Linked DNA regions of Neodiprion lecontei. The protein of the gene in region 2 interacts with the protein of the main gene of each other region in a biochemical or structural test. Links are inferred from orthologs where the notes say so. Each region holds a gene or a part of one and is shown on either strand. Other genes may lie near its edges.

The links.
Region 1: the proteins of late histone H1-like (region 2) and histone PARylation factor 1 form a complex in vitro, tested with the Homo sapiens proteins (2 studies listed by BioGRID). The link is inferred for Neodiprion lecontei from reciprocal best matches to the Homo sapiens genes H1-5 and HPF1.

Annotation. Positions count from the first base shown.
Region 1 is NC_060265.1:5,898,802-5,902,725, forward strand, and holds histone PARylation factor 1, read left to right. Parts: upstream 1-1,366; 5' UTR 1,367-1,473; intron 1,474-1,562; 5' UTR 1,563-1,726; coding exon 1,727-1,858; intron 1,859-2,065; coding exon 2,066-2,602; intron 2,603-2,696; coding exon 2,697-2,845; intron 2,846-3,091; coding exon 3,092-3,330; intron 3,331-3,457; coding exon 3,458-3,759; 3' UTR 3,760-3,884; downstream 3,885-3,924. Other genes in the region: rab proteins geranylgeranyltransferase component A 1, read right to left, coding at 1-88, 175-361, 460-651, 847-913, 1,016-1,064. UniProt on the Homo sapiens protein: Cofactor for serine ADP-ribosylation that confers serine specificity on PARP1 and PARP2 and plays a key role in DNA damage response.
Region 2 is NC_060262.1:40,413,179-40,417,102, forward strand, and holds late histone H1-like, read right to left. Parts: upstream 2,613-3,924; 5' UTR 2,471-2,612; coding exon 1,778-2,470; 3' UTR 318-1,777; downstream 1-317. Other genes in the region: histone H3, read left to right, coding at 1-14. UniProt on the Homo sapiens protein: Histone H1 protein binds to linker DNA between nucleosomes forming the macromolecular structure known as the chromatin fiber. Histones H1 are necessary for the condensation of nucleosome chains into higher-order structured fibers.

The DNA.
Region 1 (3,924 bases), on a different chromosome or scaffold from region 2:
CAACTCGAGAAACAGCTCTGAACTCTGCATATCGAGCAATGTTGCTAGAGATTAGGAGTTCTACCAGTTCACCGCGAGCAAACAATAGCTGTGAAATGAATCAGGATAAGTTTGAATCTTAGAGCAATTTTACAAGATATATGTGTTTCAGTGGTATATTTTGTTTCCTCTAACCTTTGGTGCCAAGTCGATGTTAAATTTTCGGTATTCCTTTTTAATCCGATCAATGCTCCATTGTTTGACAGTTTCTTTTTTCTCACTTTTATCTTCATCAGATTTCTCCGCTCCGTCGTTGGCTGCTGTATCTCCAGAGCCATCAGTTTGCGTGTCTTTCGTCGACAGTACTGGCAGGTCTGCATCACTGTCAAAATATTTCAAGAAAAATTAATTAATTGATTACTGTGATCCGATGAGATTTTGAAACTATCTGTTTCGATAAAAGTTGGCAACTCGACTTACTTGGAGATAAACCATTTTTCAATGATATTTTCAACAGTGGAATATTGGTTGCTGGCTTTTAAAAACTTCTCATCAGCTTGAAGCAATGAAGTGGTATCTGCTACGTTCTGTTTGGGAGATTTTAGATCTTCTATCCATTTTTGTAGACCATCGAAATTAAAGGTAGCCCAAAGACCACCGTAGTATTCATTGCTAAAAATTGAGGTTTCGTGTTAATGGATAAAATATTAAAAATACAAGTAAACAGATGGTGCTTTTGTTGAGAGAGTGCCTACAATCTACGTTTACATTAGTAAGTGCAGACTTTTTTACCGGCGGTTCGTTTCAGCGTTTTTTTACAATATGAATTTATATAGAAATTTATGAATAAAAAGTGATAACAGCTACCTATCAAGGTGTAGAACCCTTTTTCCGATCCTGCTAGCCGCCGCGGCGACGATGGATTCGGTCATTCCTGAGTAAAATAGTGATAAATAATTTAGTACGCTTGACAGAACACGAATGAATTGAAATATATTCTAATATATCGAGGTTTGTGATATAAAAAAATCAATACCTGTACCCACGACGACAACGTCGTATTCGGTCGGCAGGTCGTCCTCCATGGCTCGGAATAATAAAAATAACTATTCAACTCGTATAACTTGTCGCAGATTGTACCGTTTCAAGAAGCACTGACCGAAAACAGTCAATTCATTATTCGCTATTGCTCCCTTATGACAGATTTCGCAGCTAGCAACCCCATTCGCGACTCGCCCCTCCTCGCTCAGGCTTTCACCCTTTTTTGTTCAGAATTTGACAGTTCGGTCGCTCCGTCGGCGCTCCGCCAATCCCCGTTTAGAATTTTGCTGCATTTTGCTGCGCGTCCACTACGCGTCGCAATTTTGTGCCCGTCCACTTCGTTACTCGTTGCCAACTTCAAGGCTGCCAATACAACGACCGCGTTTAGGAATAAAAATCTTCGCGTATCAACACGTAATTTGACGCTTTGCGTTGTGCTTTTGATCCAAATAGGTTGATCATTTCATTCACATTTCTATCGCATTTTTTTCTACCTCGCTTTTCGACTTTCTTCGCCAAATCTATCTCTTCGACTTTTTCAGTTAAAAAACGAAACTTGAAATTGCCGCTGTTGGCGAATTCACAGTTTTCCAACCGCCGCCGGATCGTCCCGAACTTAGTCACTTGATATTTGGAACGATATTCGAAAAGATTCAAAATTCAACGCTGTGAGAGAGTTTAATAAGTTTCTGATAAATCAAACGATATGTCCAGTTTCGATGAACTTTACGAGACATATGTCAAGGACCCCCGAACCCCTTGCAACTATGGTGTCAAATGTTATCAGAAGAATCAAATTCATCGGGACAAATATAAACACCCACCTCCGGACGATCGAGTGAGTTAACCTCAATAACGTTTCGATTTCTACATTTTTCTCTGAACAATCAGTTGAATTTTATAATATTATACTACGTACGTAATACACTTCTGTTCGCAAGCTATAACCGATATTGGAAAACCTTCTTAGCAATTCCTGCAAGAGTTCTAGAAGTTGCTTCTACTCCTTGTTACGCTAACACAACAGCTAATGTGATTGTTCCAGAAGGGAAAAAACGGCACTAGATCGAAACCTAAAAAACGCACAAGGCTGGATCGGAGAAATGATGAAAAGGACGAGCCATCAATTACAGAATCCGACTCCGACTCAGAAGTTCCTGAGATAACTTCGAAGAAATGCTGTGTGTCGCTTGATTCATCTGATCAAACTGCAAGTGCTGGTCAAAGCAGTTCAAAACAAAGAGAATCTGACGTAGGAAGCGAAGATGAACAGAAATCTGATATTGTTAGCTATTCGAGGAATGAGACAGAAGATAATGAAACAGAATCGTCGACTCTTGTGGACGAAAAAGAATTTATAAAAGAAAAATTTTTGGTACATATGCCGTCAGACTTTTACAGCTTCTATGAACTTTGTAAAGAGATATCGCCTAATGACCCTTGCAGCGCATTCAAAGCTGCTGATCTTTTACTTGTTGGACCATATGATGTTTTGAATGGAAAATTATTGGATGCTAAAGTTGAGAATAACGACCTGTATCTCAGGCACTGGAGATACTTTTATGACCCTCCCGAATTCCAGGTTCGCTAAGTTATTTATAGCGTTGAGAACATTAGATGTAGGATATTTATCTGGTCATTTTAATTGCTTTTACTTTCTACAATTTCTTTTGCAGACTATTATTAAAGGCAATGACAAGGAAGGCTTGCATTTTGGTTATTGGAGAGACGAGCCAAAGAAGAATCCTGTTTTCGTTGCTAAAAACTCTATGAAAGTAGATTGCAAGATTAAACCTATGGCAGAAACTGTCTTTGGAGCTGTAGAGTAAGCTGATTTACTAAAATTAGGAAGGTATCTAATCCACATTGCGAGAATTATCTGATTTTTGGTGAATCCTGAGGGAGTGACTAAAAAAATTGAACGAATTTGCAAAGAATTAAAGTCATACATTTCACTGTGCCCAGGATTACAAATTCCTCTCAAAACTGGATTTATTCTCTATGGAGGATTAATTTAAAACTGCAATACTATTTTAAAATATCATGGTACAAATGCGTTCTTTGTTCAAAGTGATTATTTGGAGGAGAAACTTAAGACGACTAATCCATTCGCAAAGCCTAAAGTGGCCAGCTTGCGTCAGCGGCTAAAAAAATTCGCAAATGCTCGGTGCATCCGGTTGGAAAAGAGCACGGAAACCATGAGAGCCAGGGAAAGACTAGTCGTAGCCAGAACGTTTCATCGTGCAGGAATTGTGGTGCCATATAATAAGAAAACACAATTGGGATACAGAGAGCTGGCTGCAACTGATGGTCGAGTGTTTTTCATCATTGTAACTTGTTGTTCTGTTGTGATAGTTTTTCCCCCTAGAAATCAGAGAAAAGAAAAATTCATAAAAACCTGAAAATTCGTCACTAACCATTAATTTTTTACCTTTAGGAAATCTGAAGAAAATTTTAAAACAAATCGATGAATCAGAAAACGACGCTGAAAGATCTGATCACTTGATTAACCTCGAGGAAGTAGAACGACTGGCTACCATCGCCGCTGACGAGTGCGATTTCGGAACGTGCCTAGAATTGGGACACGACCTATTTTCAAGCGGTAGCGAGTATGTTCAGACCATCGCTGTTCGAATGCTTACAACCGCATACAGTCTGCTTAATCGTCCGGAATTTTTGAAAATCGTCAAGGCGCATTGCTGCGATAGAAAGACAGGCTGTGTTCTCGGAATCATTTAACGAGAAAACTGGATTGAAGCCGTAAGGTAATTTTTAAGATATGTTTTATTAAGATATGTCCACAAATACTTGTTTATGCTATTTCTTTTTTATAAATGCTAAATAAAAAGAAATACGAACGTGAATTTCGGTATCCGGCGCGGTGTATAAATTTAGATGTAACAA
Region 2 (3,924 bases):
GTGAACGCGCTTGATTTTCTTCATTTGACAAATCATTACAACCGGCCCTTTTCAGGGCCACAAATAGTTTTCGCCAAATATCGTTTCATACTGTCACGAGTTATTGCACATTATCATTCCCCATCTATCAACCCAATTTTCTATCACAGGTAACATCGATACCACAATATCGTCCCATAACCACCTTCACCACATGGTTTGCCCCCGGTCGATTTCAACGTGACATGTGCACGTATCTTCGAATATGAGAGTCCTGTTTGTAGACGGTGAAAGAGAGCTCAATGTGCTCCATTCTATACGTATTTTGATCAAAATCACTTCGATACATTTTCACTTTATGCCGCAATTAAGAGGCAGCATGAATTCTACGAATCTACTATTGCAATATTGTAGAATCTGTGCCACTTCTGTATTTCTGCATCAAATCAACGTTTTATTCGGAATTGTGAATACATATGGAATGTGGCTGTTGAGTCCTTTTAAGGTACATGGACTTTGATAGATGGAGATACATATGGCAACGTCGAAATCGACCAGGGCACCCCCTATAATATATTATATCATCGAGTCAACGTGCTGCAACACGCAAAACCCCAAATACCAAACCTTGCATTTTTTTCTCACGGAAAATCGGAGCAATCATCAGACAGCCAGATATACATAGAATACTTTACCTTTCGTTTTGACTTTTTTGTACTTCAGCTTTATATATTTTGAAATCCTACGAAATACACTTTCATGTGTTTGTAAATTCGATGTGTGACCTTTTTATTTTCTGATTTTTCTACATTTTTGACTCCACCCGAATTCATCGGTTCTACACCGTTGAATATCACGGTGTTCAATGTTGATCGCAACATAATGCACAAACGCTATACGGTTGAAAAAAATAACAGCAAATATACGGGAATTTTGAATTTTCATATCGCTGGATACCCTGGCTTAAACATCATCTTATAGATGAACGAAATAATTGTCAGATTAAACTGTATTTCGTCAAGATAATTTCGATACTGCCTTTTAACCTCTTCTAACAAAGCCGTGACATTCGCGCAATTTCTCGTTTTTTAGGGGAGAATGAAAAAAAAACAATGTTATACCAGTAATGTTCAGTTGAGAGAAAATCGATCTTCATTTTTTCAAAATACCGAAAAACAATGTTCGACGTCATTGAACAGGATTTTACACAAATACATACCATACATACCCCTTTGACCTTTGCTACAGCAGCTGTCAGAATTGAATAACGATAACCAAGCAGCTGATATTTTTCCTACGGGGTCTTTCAGGAACTCCGGGATTGTGCATTGTGCACTCGGCTCATGTATAATAATAGCAAGGGTCTGAACACTGAAATGTTGCCAAGCAACTGAAGCCCACCTCACTTAAGACTCCCATTCGCCGGCAGATATACGGAACACGATTCCGCTACAATTCCAACAATGGTTCAGACCTAAACAATAAATAATTATAATATCCCGGAAATCAGCTGCAACTGTGCAAGATACTATTACCTAACAGCAAAACCTAATGCAAATTCTTACTCAAGCCGACGCTCTATGCGTCCACTATGGTCGTACAAATACCTCTGCTGCGAAGGAAATTACAATTTATGGACGTTTTTTCCATGGGATATACCTATATGGGATTATTGGAATATGGTTCAGGGCATCGACGATGTCAATTCATTTGCATAGATATAAATTGATGGCCCTGAGAAGGGCCGTTTAAATTATTTTTCTGACGATTGCTGGTGTTGGTGACGAAATGTAGCTGTTCACTTCTTCTTCGGTGCTGCAGCCGCCTTCTTGGCTGCCGGTTTGGCCGCCTTTGGAGCTGGAGCAGCCTTCTTCGGCTTCGGAGCCTTCGGTTTGCGGGTAGGTGCCTTGACTGCTTTCTTTGCTTTCGACGGAGTCTTTACTTTCGGTGGTTTTGCGGCCGGGCTCTTGACAACCTTGCGTTTCTCCGTAGCGGCTGCAGGCTTCTTTGCGGCTACCAATTTTTTGGCGGCGGTCAACTTCTTTGGGCTTTTGGCAACAGCTGCCTTTTTTGGTGCAGCTGGCTTTGCAGCGGCGCGCTGTACCTTCGGCTTTGCTTTCGGGGCGTCGGTCTTCGCGTTCGCGATCTTGAAAGAGCCCGAGGCTCCCTTACCCTTAGTCTGCAACAATACTCCCGTAGTAACAGCAGTCTTCAAGTACTTCTTGATGAAAGGAGCCTGTTTCTCCGCGTCGATTTTGTACGTGACAGCAACGTACTTCTTGATTGCCTGGAGAGACGATCCGCCGCGCTCCTTCAAGCTAGCGATAGCCGCGTTCACCATCTCGGAAGTACGTGGGTGCGCCGGTTTTGCACGGGGCTTCTTTGACTTGGGCGAAGCCGCTGCTCTTTTGGCAGGAACGGCTTGAACGGCTGGGCTGTTAGCTGCAGGGTTAGCTGCGACTGCCGGCGACGATGCTGATTTGTCTCCCATAGCTGATCGATCTAGTAGTCGCGATGAAATGATCAAAACACCACTACTGACAATGGAAAATTACAGCTGAAAGACCGTCAGAGACACAAGTAAAGTTTATACTGTTTAATGCGTTTGCGCGTATGATCACACTGGTAGTTGAGATGGATAATACTCGTAAAAAATCTGAGCAACAGTTTGCTAGTATAGGATAGCGCGGACCATGGAGAGAGACCGTGAGCGCGTTTTAGGCGGTGCGCTTCGCGACGTTCGCGCGTGCGACACTGACCGAACGGTATTTCCTCGGGTGTTTTACTGTCGCCATCGAACTCCTGAAGACCTCCTGTTGCTACCAGGTACTACGAAGTATGCTCTATCGACTACGCAAGATTTTTGAACCGTCGCGGTAAAGGATCCCTTGTAAAAATCACTCTCCGCGAAGCGTGCGTCTTGACATCGACCACACCCTGAGCAACGGTCGCCCTGGTGCTGACCTGGGGGGATGCGATCGAATCTTTTCCAATGTACCAGTGTGAGCTCGAAGCTTTGCTCTAGTTCCATGCAAAAGCCGAACCTCGTATCTGCACTTGTCTCCGTGATATAAGCGATTGAAATTCGGGAGGTCGCGACTAAGTCTACGACGAGCTAGACCTGCTTTTTGCAGACGAATGTCGACCCGGTAGCAGTGCCGAGGAACGTCGACCTGGGTGACAATGTCGGGAAATTGTAATTTCTGGACACATTCACGGTAACGGATGTCTAATTAATGAAAATTTGAACGTAATGACACCGTGCGAAGCTACTAGGACCGGCCCAAGGTATCCAGCAAGTCGAGGTTCTGCGTAGTTTGACATTACGCGGAGCAGCTGATTTGTGTATAAGGAAAATTTTCTGCATGTATTGATGGTGGAAGTATTGCATCGAATTTCCAGAAATTTTGATAATCACAACATTCTCAACTCAATTACGGCCAGGTGGCTTTTACTTATTGTTAAAGCTAAAGAAAGAAGTAAATCATTACACTGCGGTGGATTAATCAGGGATTCTTTAAATCGTTGAAAACTCGTGTAAATGTGGAACGTACGCTTGTATGCCAAGAAACTCTACATTTTGTATATGTATGATAAATGGTTCACGAATAAATGTTATGCGTCCGATTTAAGTTTGAATTTGAACCGTCTTATGACCTTGAAGTCAGCGTTGATCAAGGGAAGGTTAGCGAAATTGTTTTCTGGGACGACGTAGTTGCAATAAAGAAAAATGGAGCGGGTATACAAATGCGCAGTATTTTTCCATTAACTGACTGTTACGCTACTGCCATACATTTCAAACCGGTATATCGAAATACCGGATATGCTAGATAACTCGGTATGACCTGATTTCTGCAGCTAGCCCTTGGGTATCGTTATATTCTGTCCTAGATAATCCGTAGGACGTCCGTTCCTCTATTCCGGATAATATACAATCTTCATCTC